Linked DNA regions of Drosophila melanogaster. Changing the gene in region 1 together with any one later gene gives a genetic interaction. Each region holds a gene or a part of one and is shown on either strand. Other genes may lie near its edges.

Region 1 (8,070 bases):
CGGGACTTTGCTGGTAGCGAGCGCGACAAATCGTCTTGTCCGCTCCCAGATTGTTATAGTAGTTCGTTCCATGCTGACCCCAAACGTAGGATCTCTTCTTTCTTCGACGAGACTGCTTGTTGTGTCTGCCATGCAATGAATAAGAATGATAAGTAAGATATTCAAACTACAGGATAATAAACTTACAGATAGTGATTGTCATCGGTTACTTTCCATCCTTTGATTTGGGAGAGACGGAAATCGGATATGTAAACTTCCAGCGGAAACTCGGGCATCCAAACGATGAACTTGGCCACGCCCACATAGGTGCCATACTTGACAATGACCGAGGCATTGGATGAGCCGCGCTGCTCGGAGCCATCCACATAAACAGAGCTGCAGGAGGAGGAGACCTGAAAGAAGTTGATTGGTTATTTAGCTAGCAATTGCACGATTCACAGTCATCAGACGCACCTTGATTACACTTTCATCTTCGGCGTGACAGGAGCTCTGTAGCGTCACATCGGCCACCTTGCCTGCCTGCGAAACGATGAACACCTTCATCGCCTGGGCCACCTGTCTGCCCGTTAGCACCGCCGTGTTCATCACCTCCCAGATTTTGGCCATCGGTAGCACCGCCTGAATGTCATCCTTGTTGATCTCCAGCTTGGCAATTAGTCGCTTCTTGTTGTCATCGGGTATAACCAGTTCCCCGGAATCCTTGTCCTTTGGCGTGTCATAGACATGCGTCACGGACCACACAATCTTGCCACCGTCCACAATATCATTGGTGTCCTCGGCCACCTCGAGCAGCCATGAGAATACTTCAAACACCTCGCTGGTTAGGTTGCCACCACTTTCCAGACTGGATTCGGCCTCTTTGCGGAAAGCAGTAACGCGAGCGGTAGTGTGTTTGGGATTTTCCTTCTCTACAGAAACGCTCCATTGGTCTGTGGAGGCGGTGGCGCCCAGAATCTTTAAGCCCGCCTTAACACGAGCTCTCACAGTGAAGGCGGCCACCCGCTGATCGGGATATTGATGTAAAAAGACGGGCACATGTAGACGGGAGAGTGGATACAGCGGATGTTGTGGCAGGAGAAAGGTGACGGCATCATCGGCGCGCAACATACGATAGGGAGTCCTGGCGGCCAACAAAGGCACCTGGGCGAATGTGGTCAACGGTTGGATCTGCACCTTCGGCTCGCATTGCTCGGGATTACGCAAAGGCGGTTCAAAGACACTGTACGAGACCTGGGCATACCGCTGCGGTACTTTGGGTGGCGCCTGACCACTGCCATCTTGTGTGGGCGCCGGCAGCTGGGGCCACCAGCCCAGGGGCACGACCACTTCGGCTACGCAGACACCGTCCTCGCCCTCCGGCATGCAGCGTCCTTTGAGCGGCTGCTCCGAACCCATCGCCACGTGCAGGAGTACACAGACCTTCTGGCGCTGCAAATGACCACCCGGATCGGCTCCGGCGTGGAATAGTACCCGAAGCACGGGAGCATCCTGCGATACACTGGAGCGAACCAAATGGGCGGATATGTCCAGGTGCATATTTGGCTGCTGGAGCTCCAGTAGAGTGGCATTCTGTGGGAGAGAAAGTGGTATGACAAGGCGTCCTTTTGTTGCTTGCCAGGATTTGGGGATAACTCACGTTCATATAATCGCCCGACTGGCTGTCCATTGTGTCCGGCACAATGTAGCGGGCTGGCACCGTTTGTTTCGTGGAAAACGGTCCATAGCTGGCGCGTATGGACACCGGCTGCGTGGTCTCGACCACAGTGAATCTGTCCAGAGATAACACGGAATCATAGGAGGATCGTTGCCGTAACGGCGGCACCGCCGAGGATGTCTGCACATTGGCGATCTCCGGCGTCACAGGTGGTTGGCGGGCGTGCTTCAGAAAGAAGCCGCTGTCCGGCGCCTCGAAGTGCACCTCCACGGAGTCTGGCGAGGATTCGGCATGGATTTGTTATGGGTTGGGAGTAGATGAAGGAGTCAATTAGTTGAATTTTGGTAATGGTAACATAGGGGTTGGGGATTTTCTTAAACCCGGAGGTCACCCACTCCTCCTTTATCCCCCTCCCACTGGCTTACTCCCTCCTCCCACTCCATCGCTTTTTTTGTACCACCCCCCTGGGTTTGGAAACTTTATTTGATACTTACATGCCAACGACAGCTGCAAAGCAATTATGAGGCAGTATCTCATCATCTTGTTCGTGTGCAGGAATCCAAAATATATCGAAATCCTGAAATCCTGTGCCCACCCACTCGTTAATTTGCTAATTAACTGTGCCCGCACTTTCGTTATTTTCACTGTTCTCTCGCTTGTGTGGCTTATTTGACCGTTATTCCGTTAATCGTGCCAAAAGTCAACCGTTAATTCGCGCTGGCTAGCACTTTTCGTCCTTTTTTCTCGCTCAGCAATCCGCAGCACATCCTTTATTGATTCTTTCCAGTGTGCCCACACACCCACACACCAACACACACTCACACGCTGCTCACACACACAGCCGTGGGCCACCTCACACACAGATACACATGCACATGCAGGTATAGACACATCTTCTCCTGCAAATCGCGCAGTTCAGTTCGAAATTAATTGGACCGCAACCGTGCCAATCGATTCGATTTTTCACTCGACTCGCTTTTCACGCGCTGGCAAGGATCTGCTGGGCTGGAAAATCCCTCGTTCGACGCCCTAATGCATGCCTCTTTTCATTCAGGTCTCTCAGAATTTTACACAAATATCGAACATTCCAAACACTTTGCAGTGTGTCCATACCGTATTGAAAACAATATCCTAAGATAGTGGTACTACCGTATTTGGAAGTGCTGTAATATGGGGCTGCCAGACTGTGCGCATACTCCTGAAACTCCAATCAGAACGCGGGCAATTCAAAAAGTTAATACCAAAAAAAAAAAAATACCATGTTTGACAGTGAAGAATAAAGAAAAATAAAATTAATTGGGATTGCTTAAGAAAATTTTTTGAGAAACTTTAGATTCTACAAGAAAAGAGCTTCTTAGGAACGAATATTTTAAAACAAGATCTGGTAGCACAACTGACAATAGGTTTTTAGGATTCTAATAGCCATGGTCCTAGTCTCAGTAGTATTCACATTTGTAATATAATTTTATATTTTATAATATAATTTATAGTCTTAATATTTATTTATTTTAGGAGCTCCAACAATTAGCACTTTTGCACAGTAATTTTTAGCATATTCTGCGGTATTTTCTGATAAATTGAAACCGCCTCTATGCTGGTCACACTTGGCCTTCTCGTCGAACCGAAATTATAAAAGACAAAAGTGCAGCTGGTCGAAAGTTGCATTAACGAAACTTCGATAGTATTAAACACTCGGCATTCGGCAGCTGTGAGTATGAATCAAATCAGGCGTAATCAAGCAATCATATTCGATAAAATAAACGAACTGAACTCCCAAAGGGCGCTGCCCTATGTGAGTGTGCGTGTGTGTTAGTGTATGCGTATGAGTCAGCGTCGGCAGCGCGCAAATGAAAACAATTGTTTTTGTGCTATAATTCCATTTAAATGTCCATTCGAAAGTGATAAATCAACGAAGTCGCAAACATTTGGCCCAACTTGAGTTCTCGAGTGAATTTGGGTGCTTCAACTGCGGTTTTTTTCTGGCCTTTTAAGGCTTTAATTGAAATGCGTGTGCCAGTGTGTGTGAGAATGTTTTCAATGAGCCAAATACGTGTGCGATGTTGTTTTTGTTAACCGCAGTTCAACAGCATTGATAAACTCGCATACACATGCACGCACTGGCGCAGAGCGAGAGCGAAACTCCCATACGTGTCATTTTCGTTTGCGCGAGTGACTCAGAGAGCTGCGCATGTGTGCGTGCATGAGTCGTACTCACAGTGGGCGCCCGATAAGGTGGACTTGTAACTGTAGCGGAAGCATGGAGCCATCGAACTGCTTTTGCATTATCCTTTCTGGCCTAAAACTGTATTAAAACTATTTATTTATAAATATAATTTGTAGTTCGCCCATTTTAGGCAATGGCCAAACCTTCATTCCTTAAAAAACCTTAAAGAGCAGCAATAAGATGTTCTTTCCGTTGTGATAAGCATATGCATGGTGTACTCACTGTAGCGAGCGTCCACTGTATGTTGACACAGTTTGTTTGGGGAGCAATGAAAATCGGTTTCAGCGGAATTCGCTGCAATATGTCTATATATAGCCATAAATACATACCCGGCCAACGAAATGCTAATGTGAGTCGGCGTTTTTCGATTTCAGATCCACGCCGCACACACATCACTCCAGCGCGAAGCACTAGTGCCACCAGCTCCATAGGCCGGCTCCATTTAGCTCCATTAACCGCATCAGAACCACCAATCCAACAGCAACCATGTCATCCCGTAAGACCGCCGGACGTCGCGCCACCACCAAGAAGCGCGCCCAACGCGCCACCTCCAATGTGTTCGCCATGTTCGATCAGGCGCAGATTGCCGAGTTCAAGGAGGCATTCAACATGATCGACCAGAACCGTGATGGCTTCGTCGAGAAGGAGGATCTGCACGACATGCTGGCCTCGCTGGGCAAGAACCCAACGGACGACTATCTCGATGGCATGATGAACGAGGCGCCCGGGCCCATCAACTTCACCATGTTCCTCACGCTCTTCGGCGAGCGGCTGCAGGGCACCGATCCCGAGGATGTGATCAAGAACGCCTTCGGCTGCTTCGACGAGGAGAATATGGGCGTCCTGCCCGAGGATCGCCTGAGGGAGCTGCTGACCACCATGGGTGATCGGTTCACAGACGAGGATGTATGTTGTCAAGTTGTTTACGATATCAAGTCGGAGTGTGCCCTTACAACTTCTTTTCCATTTACATTCACAGGTGGACGAGATGTATCGGGAGGCGCCCATCAAAAACGGTCTGTTCGACTACCTCGAATTCACGCGCATCCTTAAGCACGGTGCCAAGGACAAGGATGAGCAGTAAGATCGCCAGCAGTCGATTCACTAGCCAGCTGCCTCTCCAATCAGCCTGTCCAAACTATCCATCATGAGTTTCGTTTTGATAATTTAATATATACAAGTATAAATATTTTTTTTTTTTGGTTTCGCGCCTTCTGTTCTTTGATTCCTGATAATCCTGTACTTATCCGTGCATTTGAATTAAACAAAAAGTAGCCAACACCAGCGATTGTTATGTACGACAGTGTAGTGTGTGAGATGTTGGTGCCAGATAACACGATTTCCCGAAAAACTCCTTTCATAAGTATTAACTCATTGAATATACATATATATTACCTATATACAAATACATACTTATACAAGAATGTGGCAATAAACCTTTGTTTTTCTTACACTCGAGAACGTGCGCACGTCCAACCAAACAGATGTCTGCAGAAATCCTTCAGCCAAAAGCAACTGATCAAACAAGGGAAACTTTGGAATATGTACCCCCCATGGCTAATTAAGCATGATCACTAGCACGATGTGATAAGTGTATGTAGCTTCAAATGTGGCGGGAAATTGAAAGAGATTTCGGAAATTAGTCAAAATTTTCTTGGAATCTTCGACAAGCTGACTAATGAGTTCATGTCCAAAAGACTCGAACTTGCAAACTCATATCTTATCTCACATTATTTTTGATTCGAAGATATTTCAGCTTCTGCAAATATATGTTTTTCAAGAATTTATTTAAAAAAAAATCAATTAAATAGATGGCTTAATGTTCGAAACACTCAACGTTGTATATTACACACTTTTTGGACAACTATTAATTTAAAAGAAAACACGAACATTTGAAAATCTAGAAAGACACGGACACAAGAATTACAAACCAGACAAAGAGGCGTCTAAACACTAGGCAAATTCTATGTACAAACAAGGCGCTACGACTACAAATTAATGGTTAATGGTTAATGGCCTCTGCAGCAGGAACCATCACAGCCCGCGAAGATTACTCCACCTTCTTGGCCAGCGGAGCGGTGTCGAAGTGGGTCTTCCGGCTCGACCTGGCCCGATAGGCGTCCCTCACCTGGTTGATCACATTGGCGAAGAGTATTGTGCCGAAGAATACCAGGATGGTGCCTACCCAATGGTTTAGGGTGAATGGATTCCGGAAATAAATGATCGAGAACAGCAGCGAGACGAACTTGCGCAGGGTGACCACCAGCGTTACGGTTAGCGATGCACATTCGGTGGTCAGAACGTAGACGGCACTGATGCATACATACTGGGTGACCACGTTGCACAGCAGATAGAACAACATCAGCGGGAATTTCCACTCCAGTCCAATGGCTCCCAGCAGTGGCACGGCCACTGGTTCCGATGACCATGCGATACCAAAGTGTTGGACTATATTGCCGGCCATGATCAGAAAACCGGGCAAAGGTAACATGTGCGTAAAGAATAAGGCCTCGCTGGGATGCTTGCCGTATTTCTTGTATATCACCTCCTGGTAGATGCCCATGTAGGCGGTGACCAGCAGGGCGATTGTCAGCAAGCCAATACCCACCGTCCACCAGAAGAAATCGGAGTAGGATGTATCCACCTTGAGGCTGTGATGTGTATTATCCTTGACATCGCCACTGGAGACCAGAGTGCACAATATAATGCCAGCCGTGATCATGGCCACGGAGCTGTACTGTCGCAGATTGTAGCGCTTCTTCAGCAGCACAATGCCCATGATCATGTTGGCCATCAGTGATCCGCTACGGAAGATCATGTGCAGCGGCATGGGTATGTTAAAGTTGAAGGCATAGTTATTGCAAACGTTCGCCCCAAAGAACAGGGCCACCAGGATGACGTAGTCCTTCAGCGCAATCTTCGGTCGCACCGTAAAGAACTTGGAGGTGAAGACCAGACCCTCCAGCGCGATGAACAGGAATTGGGCGAAGGTGATCAGGTTACCCGCTCCCGGATCGATTTGAATGATCAGCTCCAGAAAGACCACGTTGCTGCAGCAGCCGATGAACACGAACAGCATGCCCAGCAGGGCCTTCAGGTTCAGAGCCATATCTGAAAGATAAATATGTATATGTTTAGAAATTTTAAAAATATGAATGGTTATAGGCTATTAAAATCCAGCATCTTGACAATCGATGTTAGAGTACGTGTTCAATTTTAAATTTTTTTTAAACTTTTTGTCAAGTGTGTTTTTTTTTTCATTTTGTTTTCTAGCATGTAAAACATTCCGTGCTATCTGTTATCTTAAAGGGGTAATAAGTAGGTACGTATGTACACACATGCACGTAAATTGTTTTATACATTCGCAAAACATTGCCATGATTACGAAGCAATTTGATTTCCACTAAATTTTGCTCTGATTATGCTAAAAAAGAGTTTAGCACTATTAATAAATCAATCTGTTTTGAATATATTACTACTAACTGATGAAATTATTTATTTAAATTATTGTTAATTTGCAATTCAGCAATTCAGAGCTATTAAATTTCAGTCGTACGTCGTATGTGCAAAGCACACGGGGATACCGAAGAAAAACATACATTAGCATAAATTATTATACTTATTCTTTGCGCATTGTGAATGCATATGAAGCTAATCATTTGGCTCCGAGATTTATTAATCACGATAGCTAACAGTTATAGGAGATATAAAATTTGCATAAAATGCTTACCAAAAATAGAACTGATCGTAAACAAAGCTATTTTAAAGTGGTCTTTTTTGGTGAAATTAATGACAGTTTTATTCACTTTTTTACTAAGCTTATGCGGTACTAATTTTTATTGAAATATTAAGATTCTTTATCGATGGCTGGTAGCAGATCGATTTTTTCGATATATATAATCGAATTCTGGTTTTTACTGGAAGGGTATTTCCAAGGTCGGTGGGTGAGTGTAGATCGCAGCCCGCTCAGCGTTAGTCGGCAATTTGGACAATTGTCACGTTGCCGATAAGAACTATGCGAATTGTTTAATTTAAACTGAACAAAAACGACAATCGTTATCGGCGTTACTTACCTTCGCAATGGGATATATTCTAATCCGCGGGATGTGCGAGTTACGAATGCCTGTGGATTGTCCGGTTTAATGACGGATCTCGGATCTCGATTCTTTTGTCTCACTGGCGGGATGTCGAG
Region 2 (8,537 bases), 5.3 Mb from region 1:
GAATCATTTTCTCATCTTTGCTACCTTGATTACGCTGGCCTTGCAAATCCAGGACACTCTTATTATTGGAAGTACGATCCACTGGCTCCGGCAAGGAGGCCCCGATATGAGATTTCTTTCCCTCTCCGGGTGGAATATTGTCCTTCGTCAAAAAGAAATTCCTCTTAGAGCTTGGAATCATTTTCTCCTCTTTGCTGGTATCACTGGTGTCCGAGCTTAGAATTGTTAATTCATCTTTGTTGCTATTGACGCCTTGATTACGTTGGCCTAGCAAATCCAGGACACTCTTACTATTGGAATTACGATTCACTGGCTCCGGCAAGGAGGCCCCGATATGAGATTTCTTTCCCTCTCCGGGTGGAATAATGTCCTTCGTCAAAAAGAAATTCCTCTTAGAGCTTGGAATCATTTTCTCCTCTTTGCTGGTATCACTGGTGTCCGAGCTTAGAATTGTTAATTCATCTTTGTTGCTATTGACGCCTTGATTACGTTGGCCTAGCAAATCCAGGACACTCTTATTATTGGAATTACGATTCACTGGCTCCGGCAAGGAGGCCCCGATATGAGATTTCTTTCCCTCTCCGGGTGGAATAATGTCCTTCGTCAAAGTAAAATTCCTTTTCGAGCTTGGAATCATTTTCTTATCTTTGCTGGTAGCACTGCTTTTAAAGTCTGGAATCTTTAATTCATCTTCGCAAGAACTATCACCATCGCTGGTATCACTGGTCTCCGGGCCTGGAGTGAATATATCATCTCCGAATGAACTATAATCATCACTGGAATCACTGCTGTCCGAGCTTGAAATCATCATTTCATCTTTGTTGCTATTGACAGCTACGCCCTGGGCACCGAATCTGCTGCCTTGATTACGCTGGCCTTGCAAGTCCAGGACACTCTTATTATTGAAATTACGATTCACTGGCTCCGGCAAGGAGGCCCCGATATGAGATTTCTTTCCCTCTCCGGGTGGAATAATGTCCTTCGTCAAAGTAAAATTCCATTTTGAGCTTGGAATCAATTTCTCATCTTTGCTGGTAGCACTGCTTTTAAAGTCTGGAATCTTTAATTCATCTTCGCAAGAACTATCACCATCGCTGGTATCACTGGTCTCCGGGCCTGGAGTGAATATATCATCTCCGAATGAACTATAATCATCACTGGAATCACTGCTGTCCGAGCTTGAAATCATCATTTCATCATTGTTGCTATTGACAGCTACGCCCTTACGCTGGCCTTGCAAATTGTCCACATCCACTTCCTCCGGGACACTCAAATTATTGAAATTACGAATCACTGGCTTCGGCGTCGGGCGCTTCCTAGGCTTCTTGGTGGTCACGCTGCCCCCTCGATCGAAAATGACATTCTCCAATGTGAGTCTGCCTTCAGAGACTTGCGGGCAAAATGTCCTTGTCGCGTCCGAATCCAGGCGGACAAGGTTCTTGTCGCCAAGCAGTTTCTTGCTGAAATTCATGGTTATCTTTCCGATATGGCAATGCGAATGATAAAAGTAATTTGGTTTCCTTGTGATGAAATAAGAAATAATATAATATACAAAATTATATAATTTTATCCGCTGTGACGATGTTACCTGGTGAACGACTTTTTTAAAAAGAGAATGTATTCAGGGAATGAGCTCCAAATGTCAACTTTCAGCTGTCAAATCCACACTTTCGAAGTGTAAGGGTTACTTTAAATTGTGGTTGTATCCAATAAAGGGAATTATACAAAATAAAATATTTTGTTTCCACTTGAATAAAAGTCGATGCAATGTGTTAAATATCAGATCTATTATACTGCTCACACATGAACAGGACATTGTATACAAGATAATGTTGTTTGCCTTATAAATAACAATTGTAATTTGTAACACCAAATTATGCGTTAAAACGAAACTACTTCGTTCCTGCTTGTTAAATTTCCACCCAATTTTTTGGGGTTTCTCGCGATCCGATTTTCTATTTTCGCGGTGGCCAAGCATTTTCCCTAGGTCAAAAGCCGGATCTGCTAAACTTGAATGGCTGCCAAGAGGAGTTTTTGGCGAGTTCGTGGCAAGAAAATCCACCGCCCGACCAAAAGAAAAATAAAATCATTTTGTAAAAAAAACCTAAGCAGATCCGGAGACGACAACATTATTAATAGACGGATGCTAAAGGTTTTTGCACTTGGTTTATTTCTGGTGCTCCGCATTCCTGAGATGCCGTCGTGGTGACAAAAATATATGCAACGCACACGAGAAATGCAAACATAACGCATATCCACTGCATATCCCATCCAATCCAATTACACTGAAAGAAATTAGCAAAGTTATGATTTTTAAACAAAGTAGAAATGGCGTGGTGTAAAATAGGTCTATTCCAGAGAGAGGGATTGAAATGTAGAAAAAAAGTTTTCTATATTTAACTATACTTAACTATATATACTTAAACTTTATTTAAGATCTTAGTAATGATTCAGAGTGCACGAGAAATGTGCACTGGCTTGCAAGTGGAGCACACACACCTACACACAAACGGTGGGAAAACAAGGCGGGAAAATTTGCAGGGCGAGAAAAAGCCAGGGAACTGCAAGCAAGCATAAATATAAATATACATTTAAAATTGAGAATCCAATGAAGACGCGAGGTGCCAACTATTTGCGGGCTGTGTTATGCCCACACGCCCCGATAACAGGCGCCACCCAAAACGCACATTGCATCCCAAAAATAATATCTTTATTACGTTTCCACCAAATAACAATAATTGGTAAATTGAAAACACGCTTTGAATCGGCCGCAGTGTGACCATGTGCTTTCCACCAAACTTAACATTGGAAACGTCATATAACTACTTTTGTAAGATGGTGTTCATATAACTGTCTACTTAGTTTCACATTAGTTATTATTACTGAAACGAAATTTAATTTTTACTTTTTCTGCCTTTTCTCAGCTTAAATTATAAACAAAACTGCACTGTTATAAACCTAGTGCTGTTAACAGACTTTCGGTATTTTCTGGTATTTTTCACAGTGCCTAGCGTTAAACGTCCGGCAACAGAGTGACCAGAGACACTGGCAAGAAATACCAGGCCCCAGCAGCAGAGTTATTTTCATGGTGTGCGTTCACTTTAAGCGAACGCGAGTAATTGAAATTTCAATCCGCCAACGAACGGTTCGTGCGCGCTGCTCCGCTGCGAGTTTCTTGTACCTCCGTGCCTCCGCAAAGCGAAACACACAAAAAAAAAGAATAAAGCCTGGCCAAAATCTGCGAGCCGTTTTTTCGCATAAAACCCTTTTTGAAACGAGCAAGCGGAGGAAGAAGAAGAAGAGAAGCTGAGACGGAGTTCTTCGGAGAGAACGGTACTTAACTGGCGAAATACCGAAAATAACAAAAACAAAAACATAACCAGCAGCAACAGCATCACACATACATACACACGCGGGAATTTTTTCGGGCCTCTCTTTGCGCGCGTGTGTCTGTGTGTTGCAGTTGCATAGTTTTTGCTTCTTTACTTCTTTTAATTCATTAGTGTGATTTTTTGTTTTTGCTGTTTTTGGGTTGTACTGGAATCTGGTCTCCTTCTCCCTCCCTGTCGCTCTCCCGCGCGCAACGTATTCCGCTGCATTATATCGAAGCGTGTGTTTTTATCACTAAACTACAATTTTTTTTGGTTCTGTGCAGTTGAGATTCGACCCTCAAAGAAATAACAAGTTACCATTAAAAAAAATAAAAGCCAATCAAACGAAGGATTAAATACAGCCAAAAATCGAAAGAAGATTCGATCTTCAAACACACTACACACACACAAACACCACAATCCCCCCCCACACACACACAAAATGTTCACCGAAAAGGGAATTTTTCCCATTGGCGACGGACTTTTGGATGTGGACGCCGATCGGCTGAAGGGACTCCTCGTCTCATGTCCCGACATCAACGAGATCTACGAAGTGGAACAGACGCCGTTTGCCAGGTGAGTTTTTAGTTTTCTGTTTTGAGTTTCGCGCTATTATTCTCCTTTTCCCTTGCCAAAAATTCAACCGAAAATAAGAAGCACAAAAACAAGATTTTTGCATCTCCACACTGCAAAAAAAAATCAGTTAGAAAGGAAACCATATAGATAATTTAGCTCTTTTGGGGAATTCTGGTCAGAACCATAGATACAGTCCATACCGCAGATATACATATGTAACTAACTATAAAGTTCTAAGCTAGGAGTTTTACTTACTTGTTTTAGGTACTTGAATACCATAAATCTATACATATGTGTATCTTTTCTTGATCGCCTTATTTGTTTTACTAAGCTCGATCGTTTCTTTTTCGTATCATAATATTTTGAAATGTAATCCAAGATAAATATACATGTCTCTATGCATAGTTATGCCAAAAATAACCATATTGAAAATGATCTTCTAAGTTTTTACAACCTAAACATACTTTGCGATCACAATTGAAGGTAACTGCTACAAAATCACACCTAACATCAGTGAATTTATCATCGTTTAATAGATTTGTTTTCCTTGTTTTTGCGAATGCAGCTGCTAAATTCAATAAAAAATAAAAGCGGAATCCAAAAACCACCGAAACAAAGCTAAAAATGTTAAAGAAAGTCAGTGGCGAGTCTGTTTTATTTTTTCTGAAAAACTTCTGCGTCTCAAAACTTGTTTTATTTACTTTTTTCTTCTTTCTTGCGACTTGCCTGTGTGTGTGAGCTTCTACTCAACACACACATGTGAACGGGAGACAAAAAGAGAGTTTTGTGTGGATAACGGCACAGTGGTTTTGTTATGAACATCGAAAGATTCGTAAACAAATACGTATCTATTCAGTACGAATTGGTTTTGAAAATAGCTCTGAATTTGTACGCTTTAAAAATGCGCATTTTTAGATACGAATTTGCTGACAATATGGTCAGTTTCGCGATTGTCCTTATGCACTGTGTGTGTATCAAGAGATTCATTTTATTTACTTACCTGATTTCGTTTCAAGGGTTCTGCCCTTCAGTTAATTATGTGGAATTTTAGATTTGTGCAACAACCACTGTGCACCTCGTTCTGCTTCTTCCTCTTCTTGAGTTTCTTTGCCTGCTTCCCTCTTCCGCATCTACCTCCCTCTCCATTCATCTTCCTCATTCTGCTCCCTGCATTTTCTCCCTTTTTTCTCACTTCTCCAAAGAGCAGCTGTTACCGTTTGCTGGCGAACTGACCCTCATGCACCGTCGTCTCTTTCTACGTCCCTCTCTAGGCCCTCTCTCTCTCACACCATATGGTTGGGACAGCACTATCTCTTTCTGCCAAGCATTGCTCTCCTTGTCTCGAATGCCCTTTGACTATCATTATTTTCAGCTAGATTTGCATTTTGTACCCTTTTTCATCATATACATATACATTTGTATATTTTTTTCGCATTGAGCCGTGTTTTTTTGCCTTATTAGTTTTGCATTTCATCGTTTCTTTAAAGTTCTTCAGAATCCGCCAACCACAACACCCACACCCCCTCTTCGCCCCACGAAGGTCGTTTGCTTTCGAGCGTTCCGTGGTTTCATGCTGCCCGGTACCCCATTTATCATCATATTCCCCCCATTCTTGATAAGCATTCTGTTATCAGCCAAAAAAATTACAAAAAAACGAAACGAAAATTAATAATAAAACGTAAATCCCAATCGATGTTTTTGAGTTTCGTAAGCAGTCAGGCGTATGAAATAAAATTTTTCTGTCACATCTATCGATGGTGGTTCTCAAATCGTAATTCTTATCAGGAAGCCGTTTGTCCGAGGTGTTTGTTGTAAAAACAAAAGCGCAGTGTAAACCACCGTATATGAGATGGAGGAAATATTTGACAAAAGTGGCTTCGAAAATACAAACATTTTTAGAGGCGTACATATCGCATTAATGTGAAATGCGATCGCAACAATTAACTGTAATTTTCTAATTTAGTTGTTTGCCAAAAATTTAATGGATTCAAATTTGTTATAATAAATTCAACTTTCTCGTAAAATGTTATGCTTTGCTATTTGTTGTTTTGCTGATCACTTTGAAGTCTTCAAATTTCTCTATTTTATAACAGATTTGATTTTGCTAATGTGCCTTTATAATAATGTTTTATTTATTTAATACCATTTGGTTTGTATCTTTACACTTATAATGTCATATAATGGTGTTTTCTCCATTCAAGTTGTAAGTTCTTTGGTCCGTAATTTATATTCATTTTATTCTCCCTTGGAATTCCGTTTGCCAAAATTGCCTTATTTAGCAGAACTAAATGTTCTTCTGCAGACGGGTTTAATTTTTCCTTGGCAATAGTGCTCCTTTTTCACCTTTTCTTTTGTTGGCCATTTCGTTTTGGTTTCTCATGATTCTCTGGTTCCGTATTCGCTCAATACCAACTTGTTGCTGCTGCGTTTGCTTTCGTTTCACGTTTTGTCTTCACTTTGTTGAATTCATTCTTATATACATTATACCTTATACTTAATATTTCTTGTTGTGTTTTTTTTTTTTTGGGTCGTTTGCTGCTTTATCAACGCATCATTATTAAACGTTTCGCCGAAGAAATGCCTTCTTTTGGCTACAAAAAAGCTTTAATTTTTTATCAGTCGCAAAAAGATAAGGAAAACGAGGGGCGGAAGGTGATTTAATGGAGGGGAACTTTTTTTTTTGTACCGCTCGTTTGCAGTGCCATAAATATCATTAAAATCTTCCGCAGAATTGGGATTTGGCTAAAAGTGTTGCAACAGTAGAGAAAACGGTACAAGTTAAGCTCTAACTTTTGTTGTGACAGATTTACTATTCAATTTAATATAATATAATATAATTAGGCACAGAAAGTGTCTTACATACAAATTGAAATGAAGTTGCTAATCGCGCAACACATGCAATTTATTTAAATTAACCCCCCTATGTCACAATGTTTAACCCTAATGACCGACCAGTGGAATATAAGAAACTTGCCAAAATGGAAACATTTGACAATTGCAAGCCGTCAATCAATGCGAATGGGAAATAATGGTGGGTTGGCGAGGGGGGTTTGGTGTATCGCGGGGGGATTCCTGATTTCTGCAAGTCGAAATGCCAAAAAATATTGGCCAATTGGGCGACGCACATACACAATGTTTCTTATAACTTTTTGAGCTGTGCATAATTCGACTTGGATGGATGGGATGATGATATATGGAAAAATAAAAAATCAACTTGGTGCTGCTGCTGGCTTATGGCCCAATTTATATGGTAAAAAAAAAAAAATTGAAGAAAAAGAAATACAAATTGACAGCGAGACAAATGAAGTTGTGGACACCGGAGTTTCAGATTTGCTAGCTGCTTTTTCAGTTGTCTTTGGCCGTGTTTGCCTGTTAGCCCATTTGGTTGTTGGACTGTTGTGGCTGCCACAAGACTTCACAAAGCCCACTTGACTTCAGCATTGGCACATTGTCCAGTTTTTATTCGTAGCCCGGAGTTTTTGGCCTTTCAATTGGAAATTAGGACGCACATTTTGTGGGCAGTCGAACGCTTGCATAATGGAAATTTTATTCAATTTTTTGTGCAAACTTATAATGTGTGTACATATGAACATATATAATATATATATATATATATATGGTTTTTGCCAGAGAATGCGAATCAATAATAAATAACAATAATTACAATTCAATTGAAGCTCGCACACGAGGAAAGTCACACCTTTGGGAGGCTTTTATATATTTATTTATTTGGATTGAGCTTGGGATACGTGTATATTTGTCCATTTATTATTCACATGTCTGAAAATTGTATGTATGTATATTTGCCTAGGCGACGATTATTAAATATTGTATTCCCCAAGCAAATTCTTTAATGTCTCTATTTACCTATACTCCATACTTTTTGGTAAATCTCTTGACAAATATAATATAATATAATGCACGAAATTTCATCGAGTGTCAAATGTTGCGCAGCCAGACTTACCCACTGAAAAGCGAATTTTCCCCCAATGCTTTTGGCCCATTTTGTTTATTTTTTTTTTCTTGTTTGGGGCCTAACATAACCTCATTGAGTGTGACTGACGTCACGGGAAAATCAACCCCCAGAATCCCAACCAAAGCAAGAAAAAGCCCGGGATAATGGAAAAGTGGTGGAGCAAGCGGCCCACACAATAGCAAATACATACATAAGCAAACAGCTGATAGATGATGACTTTTGGGCTCCGTTTTCTCTGGACTCACAAACAAATTTGTGCGTGGGCGAGGTTCAGCCCTTGGGAAAATAACATAAAAGCCTATTATGTAGCCACCCTCTTCGACAGCACACGAACATCATTTATTCTCCAGTCAAAGTTTTCTGGTAATCTTAGGCGCGTCATCAAGCTGAAGGGGGGGGGGAGGGGTCATGAATATCGATCATACATATGTTATGGGGTTGGGTGCCGAGGTTGGGATGTGCCAATCGCACATCTTGGTGTCCTTAAATGGCTGAAGGACCCATTGACAAAGTCAACAGGACTCGAGATTACGACGTGTGAGTGTGTGGGGAATAAGATATAGGGGCAGTTGGAGGAAAGACTTCCTTATAATGGGCAAAAATTTTAAGTGGCT
Region 3 (7,600 bases), on another chromosome or scaffold:
ACGTACGATCAACTTTTACACATCTATTTTTTGAGAAAACACTCGAGATCTACGCGTACATATTGATTTCAGGACTCCATGAGATATGTACATATATTTTTCAAACAAACTGTATGCGGCAGGGTAAACTAATCTGGCAAACGTAATTAAATTACAACACAAATTGTCTAATAATATGAGAAAAATGAGTATATACAAAATATACAAAAATAAAAAACGTAAATGTAACAGAAATACAAATAAATGTTAAACTAATAATCGCACACTAGAATAATGAAAACACAACACACACGGTGGATATTCAGAACCAGAGTTTGGCGAAATTTCGAGCCAATCGCAAATAGAAACAATAAATGTTAATTGAGGTCAAGTTAAATGAAAGTGAAATGTACAAGTTATATGGTAAAGATGATTAAGTCAAGCATAATGATACTCCTAAAAACAAAAATCATATTTAAGCATACCTACATATTTGCAAAATAAAAGAAAACAAAATGTTAAACTACACCAATCTCTGCTCAAGATCTGCTTATACGAGCCTAGTTTTATAGCAGTCTACTTTATTCAAGCTGGCAATGCTGTATGCCACCGTTATTGGATGATCGCTCGGTTGGTACCCTCGGACTACGAATGGCTAACTAGTTTGGTGTTACGTTTTTACTCGGCTTGCCAATTTACCCAAAAGGAATTTGTTAAAATAATTCTTAAATTTTATTTTCCTTTACATCAAACTATTTAATCTCAATGGTGATTTAATTTTACGGCAGCTGTTTTCTTTGAAAGTTAAAATTTACCACACACATTATTCTTATTCCTAAAGTCCAAACTTTAATTAATTAGATATTCGTTTTTATTTACAATTTATCGCTGCTTTCTGCATACATTACTGACTAAGTGCTCAAAATAACCAGTTAATGGGGCGCATTTAAAATCATCTTGTAATAAAAGACACTAATGGATTTTTGAGAGACTGAGAAGAACTGAGAAAAATGCACGAACATATGCGTCACATACACCCCACCGCATCCGAGGTACCTGCTGAAAACAGCTGGTTGTGGTTCTTTGTACTCGAAGCAGGTGATAATAAAGGCGCAATAGTAGCCCAGTCAGTTGACAAACAAATCGCAAAGCAGAAGTACCGACAGGGGCCATTAGTCCAGATCCTCCAGGTAGGCATAAATACATATATATATGGGCATTACTGGCAGAATGCGGCGCACAGAGAAAATGAAAGAGGCGTAAAAGGTCAACGCTATCCGTAGTCCGCTTTGTTTACGGCCTACATCGTGAATCAGAGAGAGTACTAAAAGTGCGGATTATACGCGATTACGATGACCGGAAGATAAGCCAGTCATTGCGAATTCCCTGTCCATAAATGCTGACCCGTCAGCTGTCCAGTGTTCAGTGATCTTTCAGAACCGCATCGTTATACTTGCAGTCTAGCCATGAAAACCTTTCACTCCCTACTATTCGCCCTGATTTTGGCCCTCGTGAGCCTGGACCCCTCTTCCGGTTACTCCCGCCGGAAAGATGAGCGTATAATTAGAGAATATAAGCGAGAGCAAGAGTTAAATCACGCCAAGATCGCCAGAGATTTGGTCCATCGCGCCAATTGGGCGGCTGTGGGAAGTCTCTCCACCAACGAACGGGTGAAGGGGTATCCCATGGTCAACATTATCTCCATCGACGACAGCGATGCTAATAACAGGTCCACTGGACGTATTCGATTCCTGCTAACCGATTTGGACTTCACTGGTCCCGACTGGCAGAAGGACAACAAGGTCACACTCCTGTTCAGTGACGAGCAGACCCTAAGATGCAAGGAGGGCGGAAAGGATCCCATGGAGCCTACATGTGCCCGTTCCATGATCAGTGGACAGGTGAAGAAGGTATGAAAAATGAATTAAATCCTATTTAAAATGGATTAAGAATGTTTTGGCTCATTTGAAGATGGATCCTAGCGACAAAAGCTATCAGCCATCGCTGGATGCCTATGTGAGGCGTCATCCAGCTGCCATCAATTGGGTAAAAGGTTGGTGAAAGCGAACCTCATTAAGAGCTCGATATGTATGTACTAATAATAAATACGTTGTTTCTTTTACAGCTCACAATTTCTACCTTTGCGAACTGGAAATTAGCAATATCTTTGTTCTGGACTTCTATGGAGGTCCTCATAAAGTGAGCGCCTCTGACTATTACGCTGTTTCGAATTGATGAACTCCTCCAAAAGCAATCCAACTGACGCCTCATATACTTTGTCAAAAAATGAAATGATAAGCATATTTGCACAACATGTCTGCCACAAAGGGAAAGAATGAAGACAAAGGCCTTTATGAAAGCCACTTATCAGTTGAGCTCTGTGATTTCAATCGATAGAACAATAACTTTGATATAAATAAAAATACATTCCGTTGAATGTACTCTGACATACTGAAATGTATTGTTTTGGTTTAAGAGAAACCAGAATTGTTTAACTAAAATGTTTTCATCTTTTTAGATTCAATTTACATTATTTATGTGTATATATAAAATACTTTTTAGTTTTATATGTTAGGCGGTAGCCTAGATGGATAATTTATCTGACTCATTAGGTAAACTTCACGCTTTGAGTAACTTATCCAAATATACCTTCTTCTGAAAGCAAACTAAATCACTGCACCCACCAATTCGTAGATAGAACCATTAGTGGTTAATTTGTATGTATATTTTAAACGCAGTTTTTCAAAGTTAATCGATATAAATGTAGTGGCGCAACGCCGTGGATTAGTCTTTCAAGGGGTTTACAGTGGTTCCATCTAGGTACCGGGCACCTTGCACAGGGTGGCATCAATCTTCTGCAGCTGCGGCAGTATGTCGCGCAGTTTGGAGCGGTAGCGAACATCCTTGGCCAGCGGATTGTACTCCAGGTAGATGGTCTGCAGCGCCTTGTTCACCTTCAACAGCTCAATGTCCTTCCAGTCATCGACTCCGTTGTGGTTCAGCCACAGCTCCTCGAGCAGTTCCAGCTTTTCCAGATTGGCAATGCCCTTCAACCGGTTCTTGGCCAAGTCGAGGGTCTCCAATTTGGTGTTCTCCGAGAGGTTTTCAATGGTTTCCACTCCGTTTTCCGAAACGTAGAGTTCGCGGAGGTTGGCAAGCTTTTCAAGGTTCTCGATTTTTACAATGCGATTGGCCTGTAGACTGAGTATCTCCAAATTGACCAATGTGTCCAAGTTCTCGATCTTTGCTATCTTATTTTTGCCCAGGAAGAGCTGTCGTAGATTCACGAGCATTTCGATGTTTTCGATCTTCTTCAGTTTGTTATCCCCCAGCTCTAGCATGGTCAGATTGGTGAGCATGTCCAGGTTCTCGATTTGGGTTATCCGGTTCGACACAAAGTAGACCTTCTCCAGCTTGACCAGCTTGTCAAGGTTCTCTATCTTCGTCAGACGATTGAAGCTAATGTCCAGCACCTCCAGGTGGGGCAAGTCGTCCAAATTCTCAATCTTGGTGATCTGGTTGTCATACAGCTCCAGCTCAATCAGTGTTTTCAGGCTGGACAAGTTCTCGATTTTCTTGATCAGATTCCAGCGCAGAAACAGGCGCTCGATTCGAGTCAGCGGCTCGAAGTTCTCCAGCTTCTCGATCCGGCGATGATTCAGATCAAGCTCGTAGCAGTCCGGATCGATTGTGATTATATCCTCAATGGAAGCCACATCCTCGGCGGGAATCACCTGGATTCCGGACACAGTTTTCGCGGCTTCTGGTTCGTTCATCGCACGATCAGCATCGCCCATGACTGATATATTTTGACCGGCTTTTCTTTTTTTTTAATTCAAGTTGACTTTCGAAAATTGAACGCTGACTTGACTTGTTGTTTATTCCGCTGCTCAGGGTGGAACAAAGTGGGGTGACTTTCTTTAAATATGACGTCAAAGCTTGACACTGTTACAAAAGCAAGAACACACGGTAAATATAAATATGTAAATTTAAAATAAATATGTATTAAAATATTTACTTAATATTTATAAGTTAAGTCCAAGATGACTGTATACTCCTTTTGGTCCAACTTGTTCAATATGTCAACAAAATACTTAGTCACCTTACCGGCACTTTAACACTATTTCTACTAGAGATGTGCACCTAAGAACACGATGCTAAACCTGTATTATTATATATTCCAATGTAAATGAAAAACAAATATTGATTGATAATTTGCCAAATAAACTAGAACATAATTTTTGGAACCAGCTTTACGTAATTTTTACAATTTTAATATCTCTTTTAAGTTTTTCAAGCAGTTGTGCCAATGTCGTTCTTGATTGAGAAATGCGCATCTCTAGCATTTCTTCTTCTATCATCAGTGTTAAGCAACGCCGGCGGGGTTCAATCAGATGTTTTCCAAGCGTGTTGATTCAATTGGCAACAAATTGCAAATTGTTTAAAAAAGACTCGAAAATGGCTTTCAAATGACAGCAAACAAGTAGTTTAAACTGTCAAAACAACGGATAAAAACGAAGCGTTGCAGGTGGCAGTGTTTATTAAAGCAAAGAACAAACAATCATGTCTACGGGCCTAAAATGTCGCAATTGCGGATCCAACGAGATCGAGGAAGACAATGCTCGCGGAGATCGAGGTATAATGACATCCAAGGACCCATATCCATGACACTAACGACGTTCACCCATTCACTGTAGTTTGCATGAACTGCGGCTCGGTATTGGAGGATTCCCTCATTGTTTCCGAAGTGCAGTTCGAGGAAGTTGGCCATGGAGCAGCCGCAATTGGCCAGTTTGTGTCCGCCGAGTCGTCGGGCGGTGCCACCAACTATGGCTACGGCAAGTTTCAGGTGGGATCGGGCACCGAATCCCGCGAGGTGACCATCAAAAAGGCCAAGAAGGACATCACACTACTCTGCCAGCAGCTGCAGCTATCCCAGCACTATGCAGATACTGCTCTGAATTTCTTCAAGATGGCATTGGGTAGGCATCTGACCCGCGGTAGGAAGAGCACCCACATCTACGCCGCTTGCGTGTACATGACCTGCAGGACAGAGGGCACCTCCCGTGAGTAGTGCATTCATTTTGCCTAAAGAGTAGCTTATTGACTGCTCATATCTTCACAGATCTCCTCATCGACATCAGCGACGTACAGCAAATCTGTTCCTATGAGCTTGGTCGTACCTACTTAAAGTTATCGCATGCCCTTTGTATCAACATACCTTCTCTGGGTGAGTGAACGTTGTGAATACTAAACTATACACCTAAATCCCAATCCACAGTCAAGTCAAGCCATAGCTCCACTCTTAATTTTTGTTTTTTTAAAAATATTTTGTTGGGTTTGTTAGATTTGCTTGCTTTCCTTTTATCAGGTATTTAACAATACTCTACTCGTTCCTGTTTTCTTTATGCACTACTTACGTGATGTCAAAATATCCAAAATCTTCAACTCTGAGAAAGTAAATTCGCAAAAATCTAATAATGTATTTTGTTTGATTAAAGTACATAATGGTAATAGATTCATAATCAATACAGGATAACATTTTATATAGATATATGTATATAAAAACCATAATTGTCTTATCAAAAGCAAAAAATCAGTACAATTTCCAAAGAAATCCGAAATACAAACGTAAAACTGATTGTTGCGCTCAGCAGGCTATAATAATGCACAGGAGAAGTACGGGGCTTAGTATCAGTAGAAAGGCATATTGTGTATGTATGAGAGATATAATGGAACAACTACGAAATAGATATAATGCGTACTACAAGATTAATATTTGAATATATATGTAGGGGGGATTTTGTGCGCATCTCGTACAAGATCCCTTGATTTCATTTTTGTTTGCTATTTCGTTAACTGGTTAACTTGGGTTTCAAATTCGTCGTATGCAACTATTAACATGGCCTATTCTCCCTCGAAGTGTTTAGGACTATAGTTTATCATTATCAGATCAGATGTGTGTATATGTTAGGTATATGCTGGCAAAAATATGTTTGGTATATATCGTATTAGCTTTTGTCCACTCTCCCTTTAACTGTCTTTAGAATATTGGTTAACGCTAGCTTGACTGATTGCCCGATTTTCACTTATTGCATGTATCTATGCGTCTCTATTAGCGTCCATATGACCCCATCCCGCCCTCTTAAGTCGTGGAACGTATTAAGTTTTCGAGTCAACTACTAATCTTTATCTATAAAGTTAAGAGTGTATATGATCAACTTTTTCGATTTTGAAAATATCTTTATATGCATTACCAACAGACTATGTGCAGTGCGTTTTAGAACTGCAAAACCATTGATTTCACTTGCTTAACATACTTGGGATATCGAAGGAAACTTTCCAATTATAGCAAATTTCCTATATCGATTGACTTGCATCGGCTGACTTTTTTTTTTGAGATGATCACGTACTGACAATCGTCTTGGAGTTTTAAAACGCACTGCCGAGGTGTATATATATGTGTCTATGCTTTGACGTGTATATATATGTTTATATATAGGACTATTATGAAAACTAGAGTACTCTACTATCTTGGTATATATATATATATATATATATATATATGAGCCTAAAACTCCAATTTACTTTCTTGTGCTGCACTGAAAACCCATGAGTTTCGATTTTGTATCTGTATCTTTTGCGGTTGCTGTGTTTTGTATTGTTGTGTTGGTCTCCTCTGTTGCTGCTGCTGTTGGCGGTAGTAACAGGCTCCCTGCCACTCGGCGCAATAGAGCTGTGCGCATCAGGTGCTTCCGTCGCCATCCTCCCCAGAACTGTTGGCGTTATTGCCAGATCCATTGCTGCTATTCGGAACAGCTGTTCCGGCTGCTGCGGTTGAAGTCGCTCCTGCATTGGAGGAACTGCCACCAATTGGCGTGGGACACAGTGAATTGGTGGGCGAGCTCATTGCTGTCACTGTGGTGGGTCCGTAGAAGATTAACTCTGGGATTTGGCCGCCCTGAACTCCGGTGCCGTTGGTGCTCTCCGACGAGCACTGGAACTGGAATGTCACATTGCCCATTAGCACCTCGGACATGCCCTCCTGGCCAAAGAAGCTAAGCTCGTTTCCATCGAGAATTACGGAGGCGGTATAATAACACTCGGGCTCGATCTGGATGGGATTCTCGAAGAAGACGTGGAACGTGTTGCTTGATCCGTCCGAGAAGAACTTGGTGTCGTTCTCTGCAAGCGTGCGGCCCAGGCGTTTAAGTTCGATCTTTACGTTGTAGTTGGCAGCACCAGTCGACGAGCCGTACAGTCCAAAACCCACAATGAAAATTCTGAAATTTTCAGTTTTAATTACCTTAATCCAATAACCATTTGTTAGATAGAACTTACCTTCGATCAACAGAAAACTGAATTGAATCACAGCGCCCGCGGTAGCGCCACTGGTTCGAGCGATAGGCGCACGACTGGAAGCGATGGCAGACCTGGGTCTTTAATCCCGCCCTGGAGCGTGTGGGAAAGCCCAGGGAGGGCTTCATCTTGGCAGTGAAGTGCAGGAACATGTCGATCGTCTCCTGCGACGAAAGAATGCCTGTCTGGGCCACGCCGTTAGCGAACTCCTCCAGCGACATTGTGGGAATGCGGATGAGGTGCAGCGCTTGTCCCAGCAGCC
Region 4 (7,848 bases), on another chromosome or scaffold:
CATAGAACAACAATAGTATTACCTAATTACCAAGTCTTAATTTAGCAAAAATGTTATTGCTTATAGAAAAAATAAATTATTTATTTGAAATTTAAAGTCAACTTGTCATTTAATGTTTTGTAGACTTTTGAAAGTCTTACGATACAATTAGTATCTAATATACATGGGTTCATTCTACATTCTATATTAGTGATGATTTCTTTAGCTAGTAATACATTTTAATTATATTCGGCTTTGATGATTTTCTGATTTTTTCCGAACGGATTTTCGTAGACCCTTTCGATCTCATAATGGCTCATTTTATTGCGATGGACGGTCAGGAGAGCTCCACTTTTGAATTTCTGTTCGCAGACACCGCATTTGTAGCACATAGCCGGGACATCCGGTTTGGGGAGATTTTCCAGTCTCTGTTGCAATTGGTTTTCGGGAATGCGTTGCAGGCGCATACGCTCTATATCCTCCGAACGGCGCTGGTTGACCCTAGCATTTACATAAGGATCAGCAGCAAAATTTGCCTCTACTTCATTGCCCGGAATCACAGCAATCAGATGTCCCTTTCGGTTACGATGGATATTCAGGTGCGAACCGCACACAAAGCTCTCGCCGCACACTCCACACTGATATGGTCGCTCGCCCGTGTGGCGCCGCATATGGATCTTAAGGTCGTTGGACTGCACAAAGCTCTTGCTGCACATTTTGCAGGAGTACGGCCTTTGACCCGTGTGCAATCGCATGTGTCGCGCCAGCTTGTTCTGCGAAATAAACTTCTTGGAGCAGATCTTGCACTCACTGGGACGCTCGCCGGTGTGCTGACGCATGTGAAGACTAAGATCTTGGCTGCGCGGAAAGGCCTTCTCGCATTGATCGCACTTGTACGGATTATCGCCCGTATGTCGCCGAATGTGGATGGTAAGGCTAGATACGGGAAAGCTCAGGCCACAGTGCGGACAGTCTCGCCGCTTAGCTATGCGTTTTCGGGCGGAATTGTCCGTCGTTTCTTCGGGTTCCAATGCGATTGCGTCGGGATGGAATGCCTGCATGTGTCGCCGGAGTGTGTCCTGACGCTTGAATGTCCGCGGACAGTGCTCACAGGTTAGCAGACCGGTGCCGCAGCTCTCGTTGGCCAGCTTCATGGCGGCCACGTCCGCTGTCAGTTTGTGGGCTTGGGAAAAATGACGAGTCAGAGATTCACTTTTGGCAAAGACACGCGGACAGACGGCGCACTTGTAGATGAAGTTCGCCGAATGGTTCAAACGACTGCCCAGCTGGGAAGGTCGCGACAATTCTCTGTTTTCTATTTCATCTGGCCGAGGCTTCAGCTGAAAGGAGTCTTCAGGCTCATCATCACGATCCTCGCTCGCATAGAGTGGCTCTTCGCCCACATCTGAAGTAAAAGCTGAACAGTCTTGGTCTCCATACTTCTCCTCCATTTCCACGTGCTGTTCGGCAAAAGACGTGGACAGGTATTGTGCCATACTGACCACATCGTCTTGGTCTATAAGCTCCACGACATCCACATGAACTTCATCCGGCTTGGCAGCAACTTCCTGTTGCTCGAAGAGATTCTGTAAAGTTTCATGGGCGTTTTCCACTTCGACGATGAACTCATAGGCGCCGATCAGCCGGCGGGCGCAATTTTGACACAGATGCATAGGCAGATTTGGGTCCGTCCATGTCCACTGGAAATAATTGAACTTATTTTTCGAAGTTTCTTGAAATTGTAGCTCTTTACCTTCAATTTGGAAACTGCCTCCAACAACTGCCAGAGCTCCAACTTAAGGTCGTTGTATTTGATTTCATCGTGGACATACAGATTGGTCTCGTGCGTCTCCAGGCAGACGCGGCAAGTCTGCGAGCTTATATTTACGTGGATCTCCGGTGTGTCCATGATTCGGCATCATATCATAAACGACGAATTCCAATAAAAACTTTGCTTGTTAATAACACCTGATGTTCAGAGATGCCCGATAAAATCACAGCTGTTCTGGTTCACAGTCACCAGAAATAAAAAATATTGGAATTGAGATGTACACAATTAACGATATTTATAAATATCTTCCGATAGTCTATCGTCCGGTTAATCAAAATAAAGTGCGACGAATTAACATATTTTCAAAATTAAGACGCTTTGATAGATGTATTTGTATAGAGATAGAAATTAAGGTTAAAATAACATAAATGCCAAAGTTTAGAGCACTATTCAATAATTCTCTTGATTTCAAATTGAAATAATACACAATATAACATTTTCTAACACTACAAAGTCACGATATTCTTCAACCAACCGATAGTATCGCACACTTGCCATTCGCCTCATCACGCACACGCCCGCTTCACAATTCAAACGAACGGCATTTTATTTTCACAGGATCCCGGGAGTCGTGAATGTTTTACCCAATATCGGCTTTCATTGTTAACTGACCAAAATTGTAATCTGTTCTGTTAGTTGTCGAGTGCCTGTGCCGTCATGTCCCATCCGTCTGACCATGTGCTGCGTCCCAAGGAAAATGCTCCGCACAGAATGCCAGAAAAATCAGCTGCAGTGCACAATATGCAAAAGAACTTGCTATTGGGAAAGAAGGTACGTTAAGTGGTAAATCTCTGGAGTGCAGCTGAAACTCTTATTTGGTACCATTGTGATACAGCCCAACAGCGAGAATATGGCTCCAGCTAGCAAACCCTTGCCAGGATCCTCTGGCGCTTTGATCAGGAAGCCAGGCCTAGGAGGCTCCAATTCCATAGCTTCCTCCGAAGGAAACAACTTCCAAAAACCCATGGTGCCGTCCGTGAAGAAGACCACATCAGAGTTTGCTGCTCCGGCTCCAGTAGCACCTATCAAGAAGCCTGAGTCACTTTCCAAGCAGAAACCCACTGCTGCGAGCTCTGAATCCTCCAAGGAACTGGGTGCGGCCAGCAGCTCCGCTGAAAAAGAGAAAACCAAGACTGGTGGGTTAATGGTTCAGCTGTAATCTTTTGCAATTACCAAACTCAATTGTAATTTTCTGCAGAAACCCAGCCCCAGAAGCCGAAGAAGACCTGGGAGCTCAACAACTTTGATATTGGTCGCCTGCTGGGACGGGGCAAGTTTGGCAACGTTTATTTGGCGCGGGAAAAGGAATCCCAGTTCGTGGTGGCCCTAAAAGTGCTCTTTAAGCGCCAGATTGGCGAGTCCAATGTGGAGCACCAGGTGCGTCGTGAGATCGAGATACAATCGCACCTACGTCATCCGCATATCCTGCGTCTGTATGCCTACTTTCACGACGACGTGCGCATATATCTGATCTTGGAGTATGCGCCACAAGGAACGCTTTTCAACGCCTTGCAGGCACAGCCGATGAAACGTTTCGATGAACGCCAGTCGGCCACCTATATTCAGGCGTTGTGCTCGGCGCTGCTCTATCTGCATGAGCGGGACATCATACACAGGGACATCAAGCCGGAGAACTTGCTGCTCGGGCACAAGGGCGTCCTGAAGATCGCCGACTTCGGTTGGTCCGTGCACGAGCCGAACTCCATGCGCATGACACTGTGCGGCACTGTCGACTACTTGCCACCCGAAATGGTTCAGGGCAAGCCGCACACGAAAAACGTGGATCTATGGAGCCTGGGTGTGCTCTGCTTTGAGCTGCTAGTGGGCCACGCTCCCTTCTACTCGAAGAACTATGACGAGACCTACAAGAAGATTCTCAAGGTGGACTACAAACTGCCGGAGCACATTTCCAAGGCAGCATCCCATCTCATTTCCAAGCTGCTGGTCCTTAATCCGCAGCACCGCCTACCGCTGGATCAGGTGATGGTGCATCCTTGGATCCTGGCGCACACGCAGTGAACACATTCTTGTTTAATTTTCAGTTAATTCCTTTTAATTACATTTTTAGTTTAGGGCTCCCCGCGTAATTTAATTATGGCATCATAAATTTTCATTTATATAGATACGAGAAATTAACATTTATCAATTAAGTTTATTATTATCATTAGCAATAAAGTTTGTGTGTGTTTTCGAATGCTAGCGTACACTCCTATCTTATGTAGCTACCTAATCTCTAGCGAAATGGGTTGACGGAATTGCAAATGCAGAAGTGAAACGTGTAGGCAGCGACAAAAAAAACAGGCAACATTGCCCAAATGCAGCGCAGCGTTTATTTTTATCACAGAAAACCAAGTATATAGAGTATATTTGTTAATGAAACTTGTAAGGATTTAGCAACGATTTCGATTACTGCTAATTCGGGACTAATAATTTGCAAGGCAGAACTGAAACAGTCTTCATTTTAAATCTGTCTGCATTTGTTCGTAGCTCCATCTCAGAGTATTGTATTTCCTGCGAGTTTTAATTTCTTGTTCTTCATTTGCTATTAACGAAATGATGGTAGTCATGACGTTGAACTTAACTTACAAACTAAATAGCTTAGGGCGTGCTCAAGCCAGGATAGATTTTGATTTATAATCTTCAATTAACGTACAAATTTCAATGATCGATTTGCGACATTTCGTTATGATTAACCCTAGAATCTATGGCTTACCGAGCACGGCTTTAATATAAAGGGGTTTCTAAGCCTTTGCACACTTGCCGCTCAATATTAATAGAAAATTATCTTACTTAGTGTCTAATAACCTCGCCTCCCTTCTTGCGTGCTGCACCACCATTGGAATAGTCGTCCTCTGCAATTTAAGTTAAAGTGTTAAGCATTTATTCCGATTTGTGAGCACTTCCACTCACCATCTTGATCTTCATCCATGCCGTCTTCCAGGTGGATGCCTTCGGCGAACTCCTTACCCTGGTCAGCAACGATTTCGTTGTTTAGATTGTCTGTATCGAGCAAATGCTGTGGCTGTTTCACGGCCACATCACCCACATCGTCGTCGTCATCTCCGTCGCCACCTCCTCCGGCACCGGCTGCCTCGGCCATCTGTTTGGCCGTTTCATCGGGAACGGGTCCGGGACCAGGTGCCGGCAATTCGCCATCGAAGAAATTCTGGCCGCCACCAGCGGCGGGCAAATTAAAGCTAGGCTCGTTTAACGCATCCTTAACTTCGTGAGCGCCCGAATCCTCGATGGGTTTGGGAGCTACGCCTACATTTTTGTTGCCCTCCATATCATTTACTGCGTTGGCGTAACGATTGTTGTTCTCGTTCTTCGGCAGGTCTTCGGCGGCGTTGTCTACATCGACAGCGTCGCCCTTAGTATCCGCTTTGTCTTCAAAGTTCTCGGGAATGGGAGCCACGTTTTCGGGAAGTTTGCGCTCAGTCTTCGCTGGTGGCACTGCAAGCGGGGGAAGGCCGCTGCTACTAACTTTTGGGGCTACAGATGCGTTGGGGGCATCACCGGCTTTCTTGTCCGAAGCGCTGCCCACTGAGGCTTGGGTGCTGCTCTTGCGGGGTGCACTTAACGGGGAAACAGGACCGCCGGATAGTTGCGGCTCCTCCTGCTGTTGCTTCTCACTGACCGATTTGGGCACAATCTGAAAGTTTTCAACAGAGTTTAGTATGAGGCTGTGGTTGTTGGACACGGCAAAAGGCTGCAGAGGCAGTTGCGGCTGCTCTTGGGTTCCGTCACCGTTACTCTTAAGTGTGAAGTTAGTAGACGCGTTTGTTAGGTTTTGTTTTGGGTTAGTTGCTAGCAGATTTACCCCGCCGCCAATCCTGTAGAGGCCTTCACTCACTTGCACTTGGGCATCGAAGGACTTCTCGTTGCGGGGCTTTTCAATGCTGTGCGCTAGCTGGGCAGGATTTGAGTGGTGCGTGGTGGGCATCTGCTCGGCGGGCTTATTCAGTTGCTGCTGGTGTCCCTGGACCGGTGCCTCGGCGGGCTGGACTTTAGGTACATAGTTGCAGTTGGTCTTGAATTCCGCAATTGTGGCTTCCAGGGCGTGAATCTTGTGCTCACCATCGCGCTGTAGCTTGTCCAGCTTTTCCTGGAGCATAAGTAGATATGGTGAAGAAATTTACTTGGATGTATTAGAAAAGCATACCTTCCAGGCAGCCACCTCGCGCTCCTTGCTGGCCTTGTCCTTATGAAGATCCGCCAGGACCTTTTGCAGCTTTTGGTCGAAAGCGTTCGTGTCCTCGATGTGTTTCTTCTTGCTCTTGACGAACTCGGCCTCCAGGTTGGTGTACTTAATCTCCAGCAGCTTGTACTTTTCCACCTGAGCGTCGAACTTCTCCTGCAGTGCGTGTTCCGTGTCGTGCTGCTTCTGCAGTGCCTCCGCCAACTGACCCTCGTACTGCTCCTGCAGGGTCATCTTTTCCGAGCGCAGCGCGCTCATTCTCTTCTCGGCGGTAAGTTTTTCGGCATTCAGGGCTGTGGATATCACCATAATCAGTCGGCATATGGACAAAACAAGATAGAAACAATAGACCCACATTGCATCTGGACACTGAGGCCCTCTTGGAAGGCGCGGCTCTCGTCCAATTGGTGTTGGGACATTTGGTAGATAACAATCATCATGATGAGCACGATGAACATGCTCATCAGGATGCAGATACGGACGCGCCCTGAGCGCGCGAAGCGAGCCGAACTCATTTTACACTCGATTTAAGCTAGTAAATCAACAAATTGCAACTATTTCCTTTGCAGAAAAAGAATGGTTTTTCTTCTTGTTTTGCTTTAGAGCTGGTACGATGGTATCGTCGTAACGATAGTAGCGATTGCCTATCGATGAATTTAGTTGTATTATTTTTTTATACTTTATTTTTATCCCCTTTGAAATTTTAAAAGGTTCTGAATTATGAATGTTCGCAGTTCTTTGCAATAATATAATTGTTGAATTCCTTTTTTTTATTTAATTTTTAAGGCTTGCTATGTTTTTAACAAGGCAAGCTCAAGGTGCCGGTGTGACCAGCTTGGCACCAGGCGATAGCCAATTTGAGCCGTAGATATATTTCAAAGGTGTCGAAACGGTCACTCCGCTGACCAGAATCGACGGCGACGCGCGAAGAGAATATCAATAAATATTTTTAATTTAGCTTAATTAGCCGCAAATAAGTGTTGCTTGTCCGCAGCAGCCGTTAAGTTCAAAGTAACCGGAGTCAATTAATCGAGCTTTTCAGCAACTAGTGCAAAGTGAGTTCAATATCTCGGCTACGATTGATGCCCTCACTTTTCCGCGGGGTGTTCGGTGGAATTTATTTAAACATTTGGGAGAGTTTCGCACGCGAACGCATATACGTAGCGCAGCGAGAGAGAGAGTGGCAATCAAATTAATTTAATAAAGGTGCTCGATGGCGGTGGTAAACACCGTGAATTACGTAAAGTCCGCACAAGTGGTTGCTCCTCCAGTGCAGCCAATCTGGAATAAGTGTGCCACCAATAACATTAACAATAGTAGTCCAGTATCAGTTGTGTGAATCTCACCTGTCCGCCAGGTGAACCACGCACACGGGGAAAAAACGTCGCCGTAAAACGGCAAGCCCCCCGCCCCCACGAGTTCCCAAACATTTGGGCAATAATCAATAACTGGACTGCCATTTACTGTTAGGTGCCGCAATCTACACTTATTTTTATCTTCGGAAGTTTATAGATTCAGCTATAAACTATTATTTCACCCCATCGGTATTCTTCAACCTGATATCTTTATGCTTGAGATATTTCTTCCACCTGATATCTTTATGCTTGCGGTACTCTGTCCAAAAACGAGAAATGATAACAAGTTCAGACACTCTTATCGTCTGCGCAGCGTGGATAACCCGTTATTCGGCCTTGAGAGTTGAGCATATAGATGGCCAGCAAACTTTTTGATAAACTTTTTCGATTTGCACCTTCGTGTAATTTTGCTAACGAAGCAATTTTAACATTTATTCGCGAGTAGCGACTAATGGCGCCCATCCATTTGCTGCTAATCTCCGTGG

What was found.
Region 2: of sqh (region 1) and Drak, changing one suppresses a phenotype caused by changing the other (phenotypic suppression), as found in Drosophila melanogaster (one study listed by BioGRID).
Region 3: of sqh (region 1) and sds22, changing one suppresses a phenotype caused by changing the other (phenotypic suppression), as found in Drosophila melanogaster (one study listed by BioGRID).
Region 4: of sqh (region 1) and aurA, changing one enhances a phenotype caused by changing the other (phenotypic enhancement), as found in Drosophila melanogaster (one study listed by BioGRID).

Annotation. Positions count from the first base shown.
Region 1 is NC_004354.4:6,220,299-6,228,368, reverse strand, and holds sqh (spaghetti squash), read left to right. Parts: upstream 1-3,228; 5' UTR 3,229-3,362; exon of another isoform or gene 3,363-3,672; intron 3,673-3,848; exon of another isoform or gene 3,849-3,958; intron 3,959-4,211; exon of another isoform or gene 4,212-4,252; 5' UTR 4,253-4,364; coding exon 4,365-4,784; intron 4,785-4,857; coding exon 4,858-4,962; 3' UTR 4,963-5,308; downstream 5,309-8,070. Other genes in the region: dtn (detonator), read right to left, coding at 1-125, 187-392, 454-1,569, 1,637-1,929, 2,149-2,194; Efr (ER GDP-fucose transporter), read right to left, coding at 5,929-6,987. UniProt on the Drosophila melanogaster protein: Required for cytokinesis, could regulate contractile ring function.
Region 2 is NC_004354.4:11,490,053-11,498,589, forward strand, and holds the start of Drak (Death-associated protein kinase related), read left to right. Parts: upstream 1-3,082; 5' UTR 3,083-3,813; coding exon 3,814-3,947; intron 3,948-8,537. Other genes in the region: CG33235 (uncharacterized protein), read right to left, coding at 1-1,471.
Region 3 is NT_033777.3:17,388,105-17,395,704, reverse strand, and holds sds22 (sds22), read right to left. Parts: upstream 4,112-7,600; 5' UTR 3,998-4,111; intron 3,949-3,997; exon of another isoform or gene 3,925-3,948; 5' UTR 3,777-3,924; coding exon 2,796-3,776; 3' UTR 2,685-2,795; downstream 1-2,684. Other genes in the region: CREG (cellular repressor of E1A-stimulated genes), read left to right, coding at 1,446-1,889, 1,951-2,032, 2,105-2,214; lute, read right to left, coding at 6,725-7,262, 7,321-7,600; Brf RNA polymerase III subunit, read left to right, coding at 4,543-4,615, 4,677-5,045, 5,105-5,209.
Region 4 is NT_033777.3:11,960,825-11,968,672, forward strand, and holds aurA (aurora A), read left to right. Parts: upstream 1-2,299; 5' UTR 2,300-2,467; coding exon 2,468-2,581; intron 2,582-2,645; coding exon 2,646-2,946; intron 2,947-3,008; coding exon 3,009-3,829; 3' UTR 3,830-4,002; downstream 4,003-7,848. Other genes in the region: CG3281 (uncharacterized protein), read right to left, coding at 219-1,679, 1,733-1,888; CG12213 (uncharacterized protein), read right to left, coding at 4,601-4,662, 4,721-5,915, 5,973-6,301, 6,364-6,523.